2 linked regions of the Sus scrofa genome follow. The main gene of each other region encodes a partner of the protein of the gene in region 2 in a complex. Links are inferred from orthologs where the notes say so. Each region holds a gene or a part of one and is shown on either strand. Other genes may lie near its edges.

What was found.
Region 1: BDP1 (region 2) and BRF2 share a complex: the UniProt entries of both Homo sapiens proteins name them as parts of the TFIIIB complex. The link is inferred for Sus scrofa from reciprocal best matches to the Homo sapiens genes BDP1 and BRF2.

The regions. Positions count from the first base shown.
Region 1 is NC_010457.5:48,565,021-48,572,204, reverse strand, and holds the start of BRF2 (transcription factor IIIB 50 kDa subunit), read right to left. Parts: upstream 3,999-7,184; 5' UTR 3,860-3,998; coding exon 3,706-3,859; intron 3,035-3,705; coding exon 2,975-3,034; intron 1,604-2,974; coding exon 1,282-1,603; intron 471-1,281; coding exon 1-470. UniProt on the Homo sapiens protein: General activator of RNA polymerase III transcription. Factor exclusively required for RNA polymerase III transcription of genes with promoter elements upstream of the initiation sites.
Region 2 is NC_010458.4:47,802,532-47,809,198, reverse strand, and holds part of BDP1 (transcription factor TFIIIB component B'' homolog), read right to left. Parts: intron 2,518-6,667; coding exon 2,238-2,517; intron 593-2,237; coding exon 483-592; intron 1-482. UniProt on the Homo sapiens protein: General activator of RNA polymerase III transcription. Requires for transcription from all three types of polymerase III promoters. Requires for transcription of genes with internal promoter elements and with promoter elements upstream of the initiation site.

The sequences.
Region 1 (7,184 bases), on a different chromosome or scaffold from region 2:
CCTCCTCCTTCCCCTGTCCCTGCCCCGGCAGCTCCTTCTCCCGCTCGTCTGTCTCTGAGGTTCCATCTCGAAAGGCCTTGCGGACTAGCGTGTGGCGGTGCTGGAGGAGGTCACCGATGTGCTTCACCACAGACCGCTTGTCAAGCTTCAGAACCTGCAACCAGGCCAGCTGCCCGGCCATCCGCAGCAGCACGGCCAACAGCTCCTGCAGGCGGGAGGCAGCAGGGTAGGGAAGGTCCACGTTTGCCAATTTACAAAATCGGGCCAGGGAACAAGTCAGCCGATCAGAAGGCTGCAGCGACTGCCAGGCCAGGAAAGTGGCAGCAGTAACGACAGGTAGGGGATGCCGCCCAGTCACCAGCCACGTCTCATCCGCCAGCTCCACCAGCTGCAGTGTTCGAGACAGCATCTTCTCCTTGTCTTCCACGTACTTGGCTGGCACAGACGGGGAGGCTTGAAAAAGTTTGAAGCTGAAATAACCAAAAAGACGGTCTGGTCTCAACACCGACGGGATGCGGTGGGGGGTAGCAGGGGACTGCTCTTCCAAACTGAGGAAGATAGCAAGCTGTTCTACCCTCCTGGAAACACTCACGCCTGCTGGGCAGCAAGGTCATCCGGGTACCAGAGAGGACAGGATGAGCCTTCTGCTGGAGAAGTGAAGGGCAGGAGAAGGCAGGGAGCTAACATTTGTTGACCACCCCCTGCCAGCCATCCTTCTGAGTGCTTTACAGGTGTTCTCCTTTAATCTACTCAATACCCTGTTATGTGCATTGAGAGTTGGAAAAACTTGCCCACAGTTACCCAGCTTGGAAATAACCAAGCTTCAAACCCAGGATTATCTGACACCGATAGCCTTTGCTTTCTACTATTATTTACCAGAAAAAAAGGAAAAGGACACAGCTACTTAGAACAACAATAAAATTTAGCTTCTAGCTCCACCCTGTCATTTACTAATAACTTCTTGGGTCTAATCACAGGTGATCCTCCCGAGGCAGGGTCACAGCATTCAGCCACGCAAAACATGAGAGGTGGACCTCAAGAGCCCTATGCCAAGGCTAATACCTACTTCCTACATCATTAGGGTGCTGTGGGCAAAGGGATTTGAAAATTATACCATTCTAGAAATGTAAAACGGGATCAATGTGACTACTACTAAGCCTGGGAGAGGGAGAAGAGACTTCTCTCCCACATCCTTGGAAATGCGCCTGGTCAAAAAGAGGCAGCTAGAGATAAAAGGGTTCAGGTCCCACCCCAACCCAGCGTCTCCCACACAGCAGGTACCTGCTACAGTAAGTCTTCACCAGGTCTGCCAAGCACAGAGACGGCACGTCTAGCCCCAGGAGCTTCACCATCTGCATGTAGGTGCCAGAAAACACATCCAAATCTGCATAGATTAGGGTGCAGATGGTTCCCATGGTCAGGGGCCAGTTACGCTGCCGGCAGGTAATTAAGACACAGCACCCGACCAACACCTCCTTCTTTTGCAGCCTGGCAGCACGGATGCCAGAGTGCTGGTATGCCTGTTGGTAGTAGGCAACTGCCGTGTCCTCAAATGTTGGTGGTAGCTGCAGAACTCGACAGAGGTCTCTCACTCGGCGGAGACCTAGGAAAACCCATAGCAGGAGTTAGTCCCAACAATAAAGAATGATCTTTAAAAGGATGATATACCACAACCAAGTGGGATTTATCCCAGGGATACAAGGATTTTTCAATATCCACAAGTCAACAAATGTGACACACCAAAATGAACCATAGAAACCATATGGTCATCTCAATAGATACAGAAAAAGTGTTTTATAAAATTCAACATCCATTTACAGTAAAAACTCTCCAGAGTGTGGGCATAGAGGGAACATATCTCAACATAAGGAAGACCACATATGACAAACACAGAGCTAACATCACATTCAACGATGTAAAGCTGAAAGCCTTTCCTCTAAGATCACGAACAAGACAAGGATGCCCACCCTCACCATTTTTATTCAACAGAGTTTTGGAAGATCTAACCAGAGCAATCGGAGGAGGAACAGAAACAATAGGAATCCAAACTAGAAAAAGAGTTCCCGTCATGGCTCAGTGGTTAACAAATCCCATATCCATGAGGACGCCGGTTCGATCCCTGGCCTCACTCAGTGGGTTAAGGATCCAGCGTTGCTGTGAGCTGTGGTATAGGTCGCAGACGTGGCTTGGATCTCACATTGCTGTTGTTCTGGTGTAGGCCAGAGGCTACAGCTCTGATTCAACCCCTAGCATGGGACCCTCCATTTGCCATGGATATGGCCCTAAAAAGACAAAAGAAAAAAAAATAAAATTATATTAAAAATTAAAAAAAAAAAAGCGGAAAAGAAGCAGTAAAACTGTCACTGTCTGCAGATGGCATGATATTCTACATAAAGGGGTCAAAGGAGCCATCATGCAGCTCCCAGCAATTTCTGGTAAACCTGCCTCAGATATGAGATGCACAAATAACAAACCTTTCTATAATGACAACAGCGACACTTAGTGAGGACATTTGGGAGGCACAAAGTCACTTATAGAAAGAAGTCACATTTCAGTGCCCCATCTTTTGGAGGCTGGTTTGATTTGTGGCCAAGCCAAAGTTTGCATCTGAGCTCCTTAGTCTACCTCAAACAAATCCCCAAGCAAACCTGAATCTTCCACCTAATTGCTACCTCTCTTAGAACCATCTCCTCGCTCCCTTCCTTTCTTTTTTTTTGCCATGCCCGTGACATGTGGAAGTTCCTGGGCCAGGGATCGAACCCATGCGACAGCAGCAACCCAAGTCATAGCAGGACAACACCAGATCCTTAACCAACTGAGCCACCAGGAAACCCTATCATCCTTTATTTTTAATTACCATTCTCTTCAACTCAGCCTTACACAGTAATGCTGAAAACAGGAAAGATAAGTAGATGGGCTGGACCATCAGGAGAGTTTTCTTTAAAGCACTATGTCATAAAAGGTTTATTCTCACCTCGTTGCTGGCTGCGACTAACTTGTTCATTTTCCCCTGTGCTTCGGGAATATGTTACTTCTGTAAGATAATGGGCAACAAATAGCTTGTTTAGCCTCCACGTGCCACACCCTTGCCCTCCCACCACACAAAACCCAGGAGCCAAACCAGGACGCATCCACTTCTTGTCCCATCTTTGCACATTAAAGGTCCATCTGATTTTCTATGACCACAAACAGTACCCAATACAAAGAAATTTAGGAAGATTAGGACTGCACTAAAGCAGCTCCAAGTGTTCCAGCCATCTCTCTTGTACATCCAATTCAGGCAATTTTCCTGACTGAATATTCTGAGGGTTGCATTGGTCACAGACTTGAAGAGCAGAGAGGGAAGAAAAAAAAAAAAAAAAAAAGATGCTTTTGCCAATTAGTGCTCAAAACTACTTTGCGGTAATAGTATTTTCTGTATTCGTAAAGAATTGATCCGCAATCCTTCCACCATGCCCAGACTAGGTAAATTGAGTGCAGCTTTCTCTCTTGATTTCATTTATTCAGCGTTTATTAATACCAAATACCTTGCTAGAAAAACACAGATAAACCGCAGTCCCTGAGCTTCTACAGCTCACTCGTTCACTTTAGGCCATTTTCTCCCGTGCATGTGACCAGGAAAAGGCAGGAGATAAGAATCTCGACGTCAATCACTCCACTGCCCCCAGGCTGTTATCCATTGCCCTGGAAAAGCCCGCAAGGTACCTCGGAGGTTGCCCTCATCACTGAAGGTGGTCGTAAGGACTCCCTCGGTGACCACACAGCCGCAGTCGGAGCACACCAGCTGGCTCTGCGAATAGTGTGAGTCTTCCACCAGCTCAGTGGAGCCGCAATCGGGGCAGCGGCCTCTTCCCGGCATCTTACAACCCGTCCAGAGCCGAGGAAGCCTTCGGGTAACCGCCCCTAACGTCGACAACAGCAACAGTGTTGCAAACAGGAAGTAGGAGCGGAGCTTTCTAAGGCCTGCACCACCTCCTTCCGGCCAGCGTGACAGCCGTACTATGGGTAGTTCCTCCTCGGCCACGCCCCACTTCCGGTCCTTTCCTCTGAGGACTCGGGTAGAAATGTGAGCCAGGAGACGGGGGTTCCTGCTGGACTGCGTCTTCGGGTTCTCCGCAAACTGTAGTTAGTTTGAGGTGGGCTAGACTAGCAGTTGCATTTGGGTGAGCTTTTTACATGCATGGATACGCATAATATACAAGAAAATTGTTGCCATCCACAAAGAACTCTTTTTTCTAAAGCGCTAGGGGAATCGTAGATGCTCCATTTCCCTTTGGTAAGGAACGTTGATTTGGGCCATGGTACAAAGTTTGTGTCTAAAAGGGAGAGTGGTCTAGTGAGAGGGCAGGGAACTGTGTTCCTTCCAGAGCGCCTTCACCTCGAGCCAGTTGTCTCTTCTCTTTGCAGTCCATTTTTCTCAACTGTGGAATAAAGGAGTTGAATTAAAATCCAGAGTGGCACCCTCAAATGCCTTCAGAGGCTAGGCAAAGAATGTCTAAAGGAGTTGGAGAGAAAGAATATGGGGTGGTGAGGCCTTTGGCAATCTGGAGGGTTCAAGCAGATGCGGATGTTTTTAAAACCTTGAGCTTTAAGATGCTCCAAGATTCTAGCTCCAAAGTTCCTAGCATGGTATATAGCACAGATCAAAGAATCTTGAGGAAAACTGTGCCGCTAGCAGTGTTATAGAAACCAAGCTTACCAATTAGAGATTTTGTATGTCATGTTTGAGCATAAATTAAAAGTCATCAAAGAGGTATTTTCTTTTTCTTTCTTTCTTTCTTTCTTTCTTTCTTTCTTTCTTTCTTTCTTTCTTTCTTTCTTTCTTCCTTCCTTCCTTCCTTCTTCCTTCCTTCCTTCCTTCCTTCCTTCCTTCCTTTTGTCTTTTTATGGTCCTACTCACAGCATATGGAAGTTCCCAGGCTAGGGGTTGAATTGGAGCTGTAGCTGCTGGCTTACACCACAGCAACACCAAACCCGAGCTGCCTCTGCAACCTATACCATAGCTCAAGGCAACACCAGATCCTTAACCCATTGAACAAGGCCAGGGATTGAACCTGCGTCCCCATGGATACTAGTCAGGTTTGTTACCACTGAGCCACAGTGGGAACTCCCAAACTATTACATTTAGAATGGATAAGCAATGAGGTCCTGCTGTATAGCTCAGGGACTTATATCCAATCACTTGTGATAGAACATGATAGAAGATAATATGAGAAAAAGAATGTGTATGCATGTATAACTGGGTCACTTTGCTGTACAGCAGAAATTGACAGAACATTGCAAGTCAACTATAATTAAAATGTTTTTAAATAAATAAATATCCGACTGCAGCAGCTTGAGTCGCTGAAGAGGTGCAGGTTCAATTTCTGGCCTAGTGAGTGGGTTAAATGGCTCGGTATTACACAGCTATGGCATAAGTCCCAGTTGTGGTTCAGATTCAGTCCCTGGCCCAGGAACTTCCACATGCTGCAGGTGCAGCCATAAAATTTTAAAAATACAAATAAAAATAAAAACCAACCAGGAGTTCCTGTTATGGCTCAGTGGTCATGCACCAGACTAGTATTTGTGAAGATGTAGGTTCAATCCCTAGCCTTGCTCAGTGGATTAAGGATCCGAGCTGTGGTATAGGTCAAAGATGCAGCTCAGATTGGGTATTGCTGTGGCCGTAGCGTAGGCTGGCAGGTGTAGCTCTGATTCGACCCCTAGCCTGAGAACTTCCGTATGCCATGGGTAGGGCTCTAAAAAGCAAAAACAAAAAACAAACAAACCAAACCAGGAGTTCCCTGGTGACCTAGCAGTTAAGGAATTTGGTGTTGTCACTGCTGTGGTTTGGGTCACTGCTGTGACGTGGGTTCAATCCCTCACCCAGAAACTTCTACATGCCATGGGCTTGGCCAAAAAAAATAAAAAGAGAGGAGTTCCCGTCGTGGCCCAGTGGTTAACGAATCCGACTAGGAACCATGAGGTTGCGGGTTCAATCCCTGGCCTTGCTCAGTGGGTTAAGGATCCGGCGTTGCCATGAGCTGTGGTGTAGGTTGCAGATGCGGCTCGGATCCGGCATTGCTGTGACTGTGGTGTAGGCTGGCGGCTACAGCTCCGATTAGACCCCTAGCCTGGGAACCTCCATATGCCGCGGGAGCGGCCCTAGAAATGGCCAAAAAGACCAAAAAAAAATAAATAAATAAAAATAAAAAAATAAAATAAAAAGAGAGAGAGAATTAGGAGTCTATCTGTTCAGTTCCAAAACCCATGTTCTTTATGCCATATTGGTTAGAACTGAGGTCTGAGATATAGAAGACTAATGGCATTTGCCCATTTCTGCAAAAGCTATTTATGGAGTGCCCACTATGTGCCAATGTACAGGCACTGTTTCAGGCCCTGGCGAAAGAGCCGTGAGCAAAGCAAAGCCCCGACTTTTGGAGCTGATCTTCTAGCGGATGCAACACGCTTTTAGGGATGGGTGTGGCCAAAATAAACAAACCAAACCAAACAAAAACACCGTCTGAAAGTGGGAGTACCTGTTGTGGCTCAGCAGGTTAAGAACTGACACTGTCCTTGAGGGTGTAGTTTTGATCCCTGGCCTTGCTCAGTGGGTTAAATATCCAGCATCATTCCCTTCTTTTCCATAGTCAGTCTCTCTCCCTGATTGCCACATCTAAGGACCCCATCTCTTCCCCAAGAGAATGCTTTCTTAGAGCATGAGCACCACTCTCCTTTTAGAGGCGTCCAACAGGACCTCAGGGCCTGATCACACTGGAGGATGGGCCCCTCCCCCAAGCAAGGGATACAATTGTTCCTGACAGTGCATTCCCTGACACTAAAATTACTTGCTCTAGCCCCACCCCATATGTGAGCTTCCGCACACTGGTCTGGGATGGTGTGTACCCCAAGTCCCCTCTTTTCTGGAGGTATGACACACTTCTGGCTGTCCAGCAGATCAATGTTGAGACACGCTTTCATGCTACCACACACAGCTCTGAGAGACAACCCTTAATTTTAGCCTGTAGGGTCCACATCCTTATTTTGGGGGGCAAGTGTAGTTTTTTGTTTGGTTGGTTTTGTTTGTTTTGTTGTGTTTGCTTTTTAGGGCTGCACTCAAGCATATGTAGTTCCCAGGCTAGGGATTGAATCAGAGCTACAGCTGCTGGTCTATGTTACAGCCACAGCAACATGGGATCTGAGTG
Region 2 (6,667 bases):
GGTGGAGTTCCTGTTGTGGTTCGGCAGCTTAAGAATCTGACTAGCATCCAATACTAACGACAGAAAAGTTATTTAGTTGGTTTTACTACATCTTGGTAATATAACATATGAAATTTATTTTTCATCTCAGAGATAAAGGGCATCATTTACCATCCCAAGAAAGCAGTGACGTGAAATATCACTAATTTTTGCCATAAAGTTCTATCTAAAAGGACATCAGGAACTCCCCTGGTGGCACAGCAGGGTAAGGATCCGACGTTGTCACTCCTGTTGCAGGTTCAGTCCCTGGCCCCAGGAACTTCCACATGCCGCTGGAGTGGTCAAAAACTTAAAATTAAAATTAAAAAATAAAAGGACATCCCATGTGCCATAAATTTTGTCAACATGTTTTTGGAAAACATGAAACTGTACTTTATAAAAATGATATTTACTTAAATCACTACATACCCAAAGGAAGTAAAACAGAAATAAACTTTACTTACGTCATTGGATTGTTATTTGGCAGGTAATATATGAAATCTCTCATAGTCATTTTTGAACGATCTTGTGGCCTCTGATTTTCATTTACGGCATGTTTGTTTTTCCATTGCTTCTAGACACACACACAAAGATACACTTTTATTTTATAAATAAAGGAGAATTATAGCCATATACATTTAAGTATTCAGCCAACTGCTGCATTCATTTCAAGTGCTTGAAAATTATTCCTATCACAATTATGCCTAATTTTAGTAGAAATTATAAATTCAGTATTAAAAAGTTGGAGCACATTAAGGAATTTTAAAAACTAAAGTGACTAGGACTGCATAAAGTGCAATGTATAAAATCATGATTACTGATGCTGACTAATCACAAGGGTTCACTGAAAATTTATACATACACAGCTTTTACTTGCCCTGCAATGAACTGGAATTCTGCATGCTTTATAAAATTCTTGAAGCAAATATTTAATTTTTGCTTCCCCAAAATAAATGTAATTAAGCAGATTCTATAAAACATAGAACATTTTGAGGCTTAGATTTTCAAGGATATGGATTCAAGTCTCACAGCCTCCACTGATACTTGACATAAAGCAAATAACCTCTCGGAGTTTTATCTCCTCCTGTATAAAAGTGACATCAACTTCTCACAGTTAACATATTTAAATGAGATAATGAATACAAAATACCGAGGTAAGTATTTTATCTTCCTCTTAATTAGAAAAAGGTGGACATTCTATAATTAATAATAAGAGCAGACATTTGTTGGGCTCTTACCATTTACTAAGTAACTAGTCTAAATGTGTTTTACACATATCAACTCTTTTAATCTTCACAATCTTCCAATAAGGTGGATACTATCATCAGTCTATTTTACAAATGAGGGAACAGCCACAGGAGACTAAATTGTTCAAAGTTACATAATAAAGGATGACCCTAAGAGTCAAACCTTAAAGTATCAAATTCCAGAGGATGCATGCTTTCCTAGTGTCACACTGCCTTCTCAGACAGACAATGAATCTTCAAGATTAAAAAGAACATAGACTCGAGTTATACACACATCTTCCCCATCTACAATTTTCCTTTTGTCAATTTAGAAAACATTACCAATTCATTTTGCTCAACTATACTTAATTCAAATGAATGTCAGTCATACCTAGACATCCTCAGAAAAAAATCCCACTAAAGGTCTAGTTTATAAATACACTTGTAAGCATATGTGTTTGTGAGCACACATATGGAACTTTTATTTGTGGCTGCTGCCAAAAACAAAGACATAGATGGGGGTTCCCGTCGTGGCTCAGTGGTTAACGAATCTGACTAGGAACCATGAGGTTGCGGGTTTGATCCCTGGCCTCGCTCAGTGGGTTGAGGATCTGGTATTCCCGTGGGCTGTGGTGTAGGCTGGTGGCTACAGCTCCGATTGGACCCCTAGCCTGGGAGCCTCCATATGCCGTGGGAGCTGCCCTAGAAATGGCAAAAAGACCAAAAAAAAAAAAAAAAAAAAAAAAAGACATAGATGAATAAAATATATAAAAATTAATACTGTGGAAAAAAAATAGCTTATTAATCCCATCATGCTTCTTAAATCATTCTGTTAACAAAAGGGGATATTGTACTAACATGAAGGATGTGATTTGGTTTTGTTTCTCTCATCAAAATGCTACAGATGCTTATTTTTCCTCTAAATGATGCCTCATTAACATAAAATCAGAAATCTAGCAGGCAACAGTCAAAATTCTGATTTTTTTACAATACCTTCTCTTTTCTCAACTCTTCTTTTAACATTTCTCTCAGTTTCTGGGCTTTATATATTCGGAATCGATCTGAGCATGGCTGTTTCTCTTTTGTCGGAACGGGGTTTGGCTGTGGAGCTTCTTGATTATTAACTGTAGATAAAGGATGAGGTTCTGAGGGAACACTGACACTAGGCTTGACCACACTAGAGGTACTTGATAGTCGCTTTCTTCTTTGTGAAACAGTAGGGGAAGATTTACTTGATTCTTCAACATTATTCCCACCATCAGTCTTTTCATCACTGTTGAAAGTTAAAAAGAAAAAAAAAGGATACCATGGATCTTCTTTTAAATATCCTACTTTTAAAAACCAGTCTAGGAGTTCCCGTTGTGGTGCAGTGGTTAACGAATCCGACTAGGAACCATGAGGATTCGGGTTCAAACCCTGGCCTTGCTCAGGGGGTTAAGGATCCAGCATTGCTGTGGCTGTGGTGTAGGCGGGCACCTATAGCTCCAATTAGACCCCTAGCCTGGGAACCTCCATATGCCTTGGGAGTGGCTCTAGAAAAGGCAAAAAGACAAAAAATAAATAAATAAAAACCAGTCTAGGAGTTCCTGCTGTGGTACAGTGGCTTAATGATCCAGCTTCTCTCTGTGGAGGCGCCAGTCAGATCCCAGGCCCAGCGCACAGTGGGTTAAGGATAAGGCATTGCTGCCACTGAGGTGGGGGTCGAAGGTCTGGCTTAGTTTTGCTCCCTCCAGGCAGAAACTTCCACATGTCTTTTGGAGGGGTGGTGGGAAATCATTGACTTGAACAGAGGTAGCAATAAAATTTTTATTTACTAAATTTAGATATGTAAATTCTTTTTTTTTTTTTTTTTTTTTTTGTCTCTTTGCCATTTCTAGGGCCGCTCCCGAGGCATGTGGAGGTTCCCAGGCTAGGGGTTGAATCGGAGCTGTAGCTGCCGGCCTACACCAGAGCCACAGCAACACAGGATCCGAGCTGAGTCTGCAACCTACACCACAGCTCACGGCAACACCGGATCATCGTTAACCCACTGAGCAAGGCCAGGGATTGAACCGGCAACCTCAAGGTTCCTAGTCGGATTCCTTAACCACTGAGCCATGACGGGAACTCCTGGAAATTCTAATGAAAACTAATGAGTCCTTTGAAACCTCAAATTCCTAAGACCTAATAGCACATAATTTTATGCTCATGCTACGTCCCTCAAGGAAAGCAAAGACAAAATACAAAAAATCTAAATTATAAAACAAAGCTAATCAGCGTAACTCAAATTATCAGATAACTGAGAGGTTAATTCATATTCTTCTATTCTTCTTTTTTTTTTTTTTTTTTCCAGTTTTGGGGTTTTTTGGGCTGTATCTGCAGCATGCATAAGTTCCCAGGCCAGGGAGTTCCCACTGTGATGCAATGGAAACTAATCCAACTGGAATCCACAAGGATGCAGGTTCGATCCCTGGCCTCACTCAGTGGGTTAAGGACCAGCGTTGCCACAAGCTGAGGTGGCAACCAGCGTTGCCACAAGCAGATGCAGCTTGGATTCCAAGTTGCTGTGGCTGCTGCATAGGCTGGCAGCTGCAGCTTTGATTCAATTGCAGCAACAAGCCCTAGCAGTGACAACCCGATACTTAACCCACTGAGCCACTGGGGAACTCCAAGGTTTTTTTTTTCCCTTCTTTTTTTTTTTTTTTTTTTTTTTTGTCTTTTTGCCATTTCTTGGGCCTCTTCCCGTGGCATATGGAGGCTCCCCGGCTAGGGGTCTAATCAGAGCTATAGCTGCCGGCCTATGCCAGAGCCACAGCAACTCGGGATCGGAGCCAAGTCTGCAACCTACACCACAGCTCACGGCAACACCAGATCCTTAACCCGCTGAGCAAGGGCAGGGACCGAACCCGCAACCTCATGGTTCCTAGTCGGATTCCTTAACCACTGAGTCATGACAGGAACTCCCCTTTTTCTTCTGATAAATTTAAAGAAAAGTTTTTTTATTGAAGTATAGATTTTTTCCTTTTTTTTTTTTTTTTAAGGGCCGCACCCACAGCATATGGAAGTTCCCAGGCTAGGGGTCAAATTGGAGCTACATCTGCCAGCCTACACTGCAGCCACAGCAATGTGGGATATAAGCCACGTCTTTGATCTATGCCACAGCTTTCAGCAACACAGGATCCTTAACCCACTGAGTGAGTCTAGGCACAGAACCCACATCCTCATAGATACCAGTTGGATTCTTAATCTGTTGTGACACAACAGGAACTCCTGAAATATAGGCTGATTTACCATATTAGATTAGATTCTGGTGTACAGTACAGTGATTCAGTGTTTTTACACACTGTACACCATTAAATGAGGGTTGTTTTATTTATTTGGCCGTGCCTGCAGCATGTGGAAGCTGCTGGGCCAGGGACTGAACCCACCCACGGTAGTGACCCAAGATGTGCAATGACAACACCGGATCCTTAAACCTGCTATACCCCAAGAGATGACCAAATGAGCGCTGTTTTTTTAAAATTAAGTTTATAATCTATAAAGACACCCTCTTAAAACTGATTTAAATTACTGGCATTTTACTTTAATTATCTATCAACTTGGAATCGGTCAAACCAAACATACAAAATGTCAACCTTCTGAAATATTTCTATTGCAGTTATTTGAAGATATTGAGCTACATCAATCAAACCAAATTCTGTTCAAGAGAGAAATCATTTATCTTTTGTCAGGTATAACTCTACTTATTCAGCTATCAAAATAAACTCTTGGAGTTCCCATTGTGGCTCAGTGGAAGTGAATCTGACTAGTATCCATGAGGATGCAGGTTCAATCCGTGGCCCTGCTCAGCGGGTTAAAGATCAGGCGTTGCCGTGACCTGTGGTGTAGGTCGCAGACTCGGCTCGAATCTGGCGTTGCTGTCTGTGGTATAAATCAGCAACTACAGCTCAGATTTGACTCCTAGCCCGGGAACCTCCAAATGCCTCAGGTACGGCCCTAAAAAGACAAAATAAATAAAAATAAAAATAAATAAACTCTTCACTTAAAGAAAGTAGTAAGTCCCTGGAAATTATATATATTATAGTTTAGACTAGATATAATATTTCAGGAATGGCCTTAAGAGGATATAAGTCAAGAATTAAAACCAGGGAGTTCCCTGTTGGTGTAATGGTTACTATTCAGCACTTTTGCCTCTGGGACCCAGGTTCAATCCCTGGTCTGAGAACTGAGATCCTACTTTAAGCTGCTGTACCTTGTGGCCAAAAAGAAAAATAAATAAAAGCAGTCTACTGTTTTCATGTTAGGATTAGTTTAATATAAAAGTGGAATATGCCTAAACCTATAAAATAACCTTTCCAGAAAGTATCCAAATTAAACCCTTATCTCAGCCCTAATAATGTGATACCACCTGCATTTTATCCAGTTAAGTTGAATGCATAAAAGGACAAAACATACACCCTATAGGTTTTTACAATTAGTAAAGACCCACTTAGGAGTTCCCGTCGTGGCGCAGTGGTTAACGAATCCGACTAGGAACCATGAGGTTGCGGGTTCGATCCCTGCCCTTGCTCAGTGGGTTAATGATCTGCCTTTGCCGTGAGCTGTGGTGTAGGTTGCAGACACGGCTCGGATCCTGCGTAGGTTGCAGACACGGCTCGGATCCTGCGTTGCTGTGGCTCTGGCATAGGCTGGCAGCTACAGCTCTGATTAGACCCCTAGCCTGGGAACCTCCATATGCCTCGGGAGCGGCCCAAGAAATAGCAAAAAAAAAAAAAAAAAAAAAAAAAAAGTAAAGACCCACTTAAAAAAGGATAAAAAACAAAGTATATTTACTAAATGTCTACTCTATGAAAGCAATACCCTTAATCTTAAATGTCTCAAGACTACACTTATATTATCGATAATCATGCATTCACATGTAGTTAACAGAATCTCTGTAAACTTTATTACTTTAACAGTAACTGGTATTTGTAGTCCATTATTGGGAGAAATTGTGAAATAAATTCTTGTAAGAAACTTGGAAATTACTAAGCATCACTAAGCTATCAAAATAACATTCTATACCCAGCACCAATTAAGGCCAACAGAAAAAATCAAACCAAAAAAGAAAGGAGTAAAATCGTCACCTTCCTATCACAATAGAAAAAAAATTTATGCCATCTCACTGTCATTTAATGGGGTTGGTTTTCCTTGGTTTCCTCATATTTAGAGTATAAAAACAGAGATCAGGGAGTTCCCATTGTGGCTCCATGGGTTTCGAACCTGACTAGTATCCATGAGGATGCAGGATCCCTGGCCTTGCTCAGTGGGTTAAGGATCCAGTGTTGCCATGAGCTGTGGTGTAGGTCACAGATGTGGCTTGGATCCGGGTTGCTGTGTCTGTGGTGTAGCCTGGCAGCTACAGCTCCAATTTAGTCCCTAGCCTGGGAACTTCCAAATGCGGC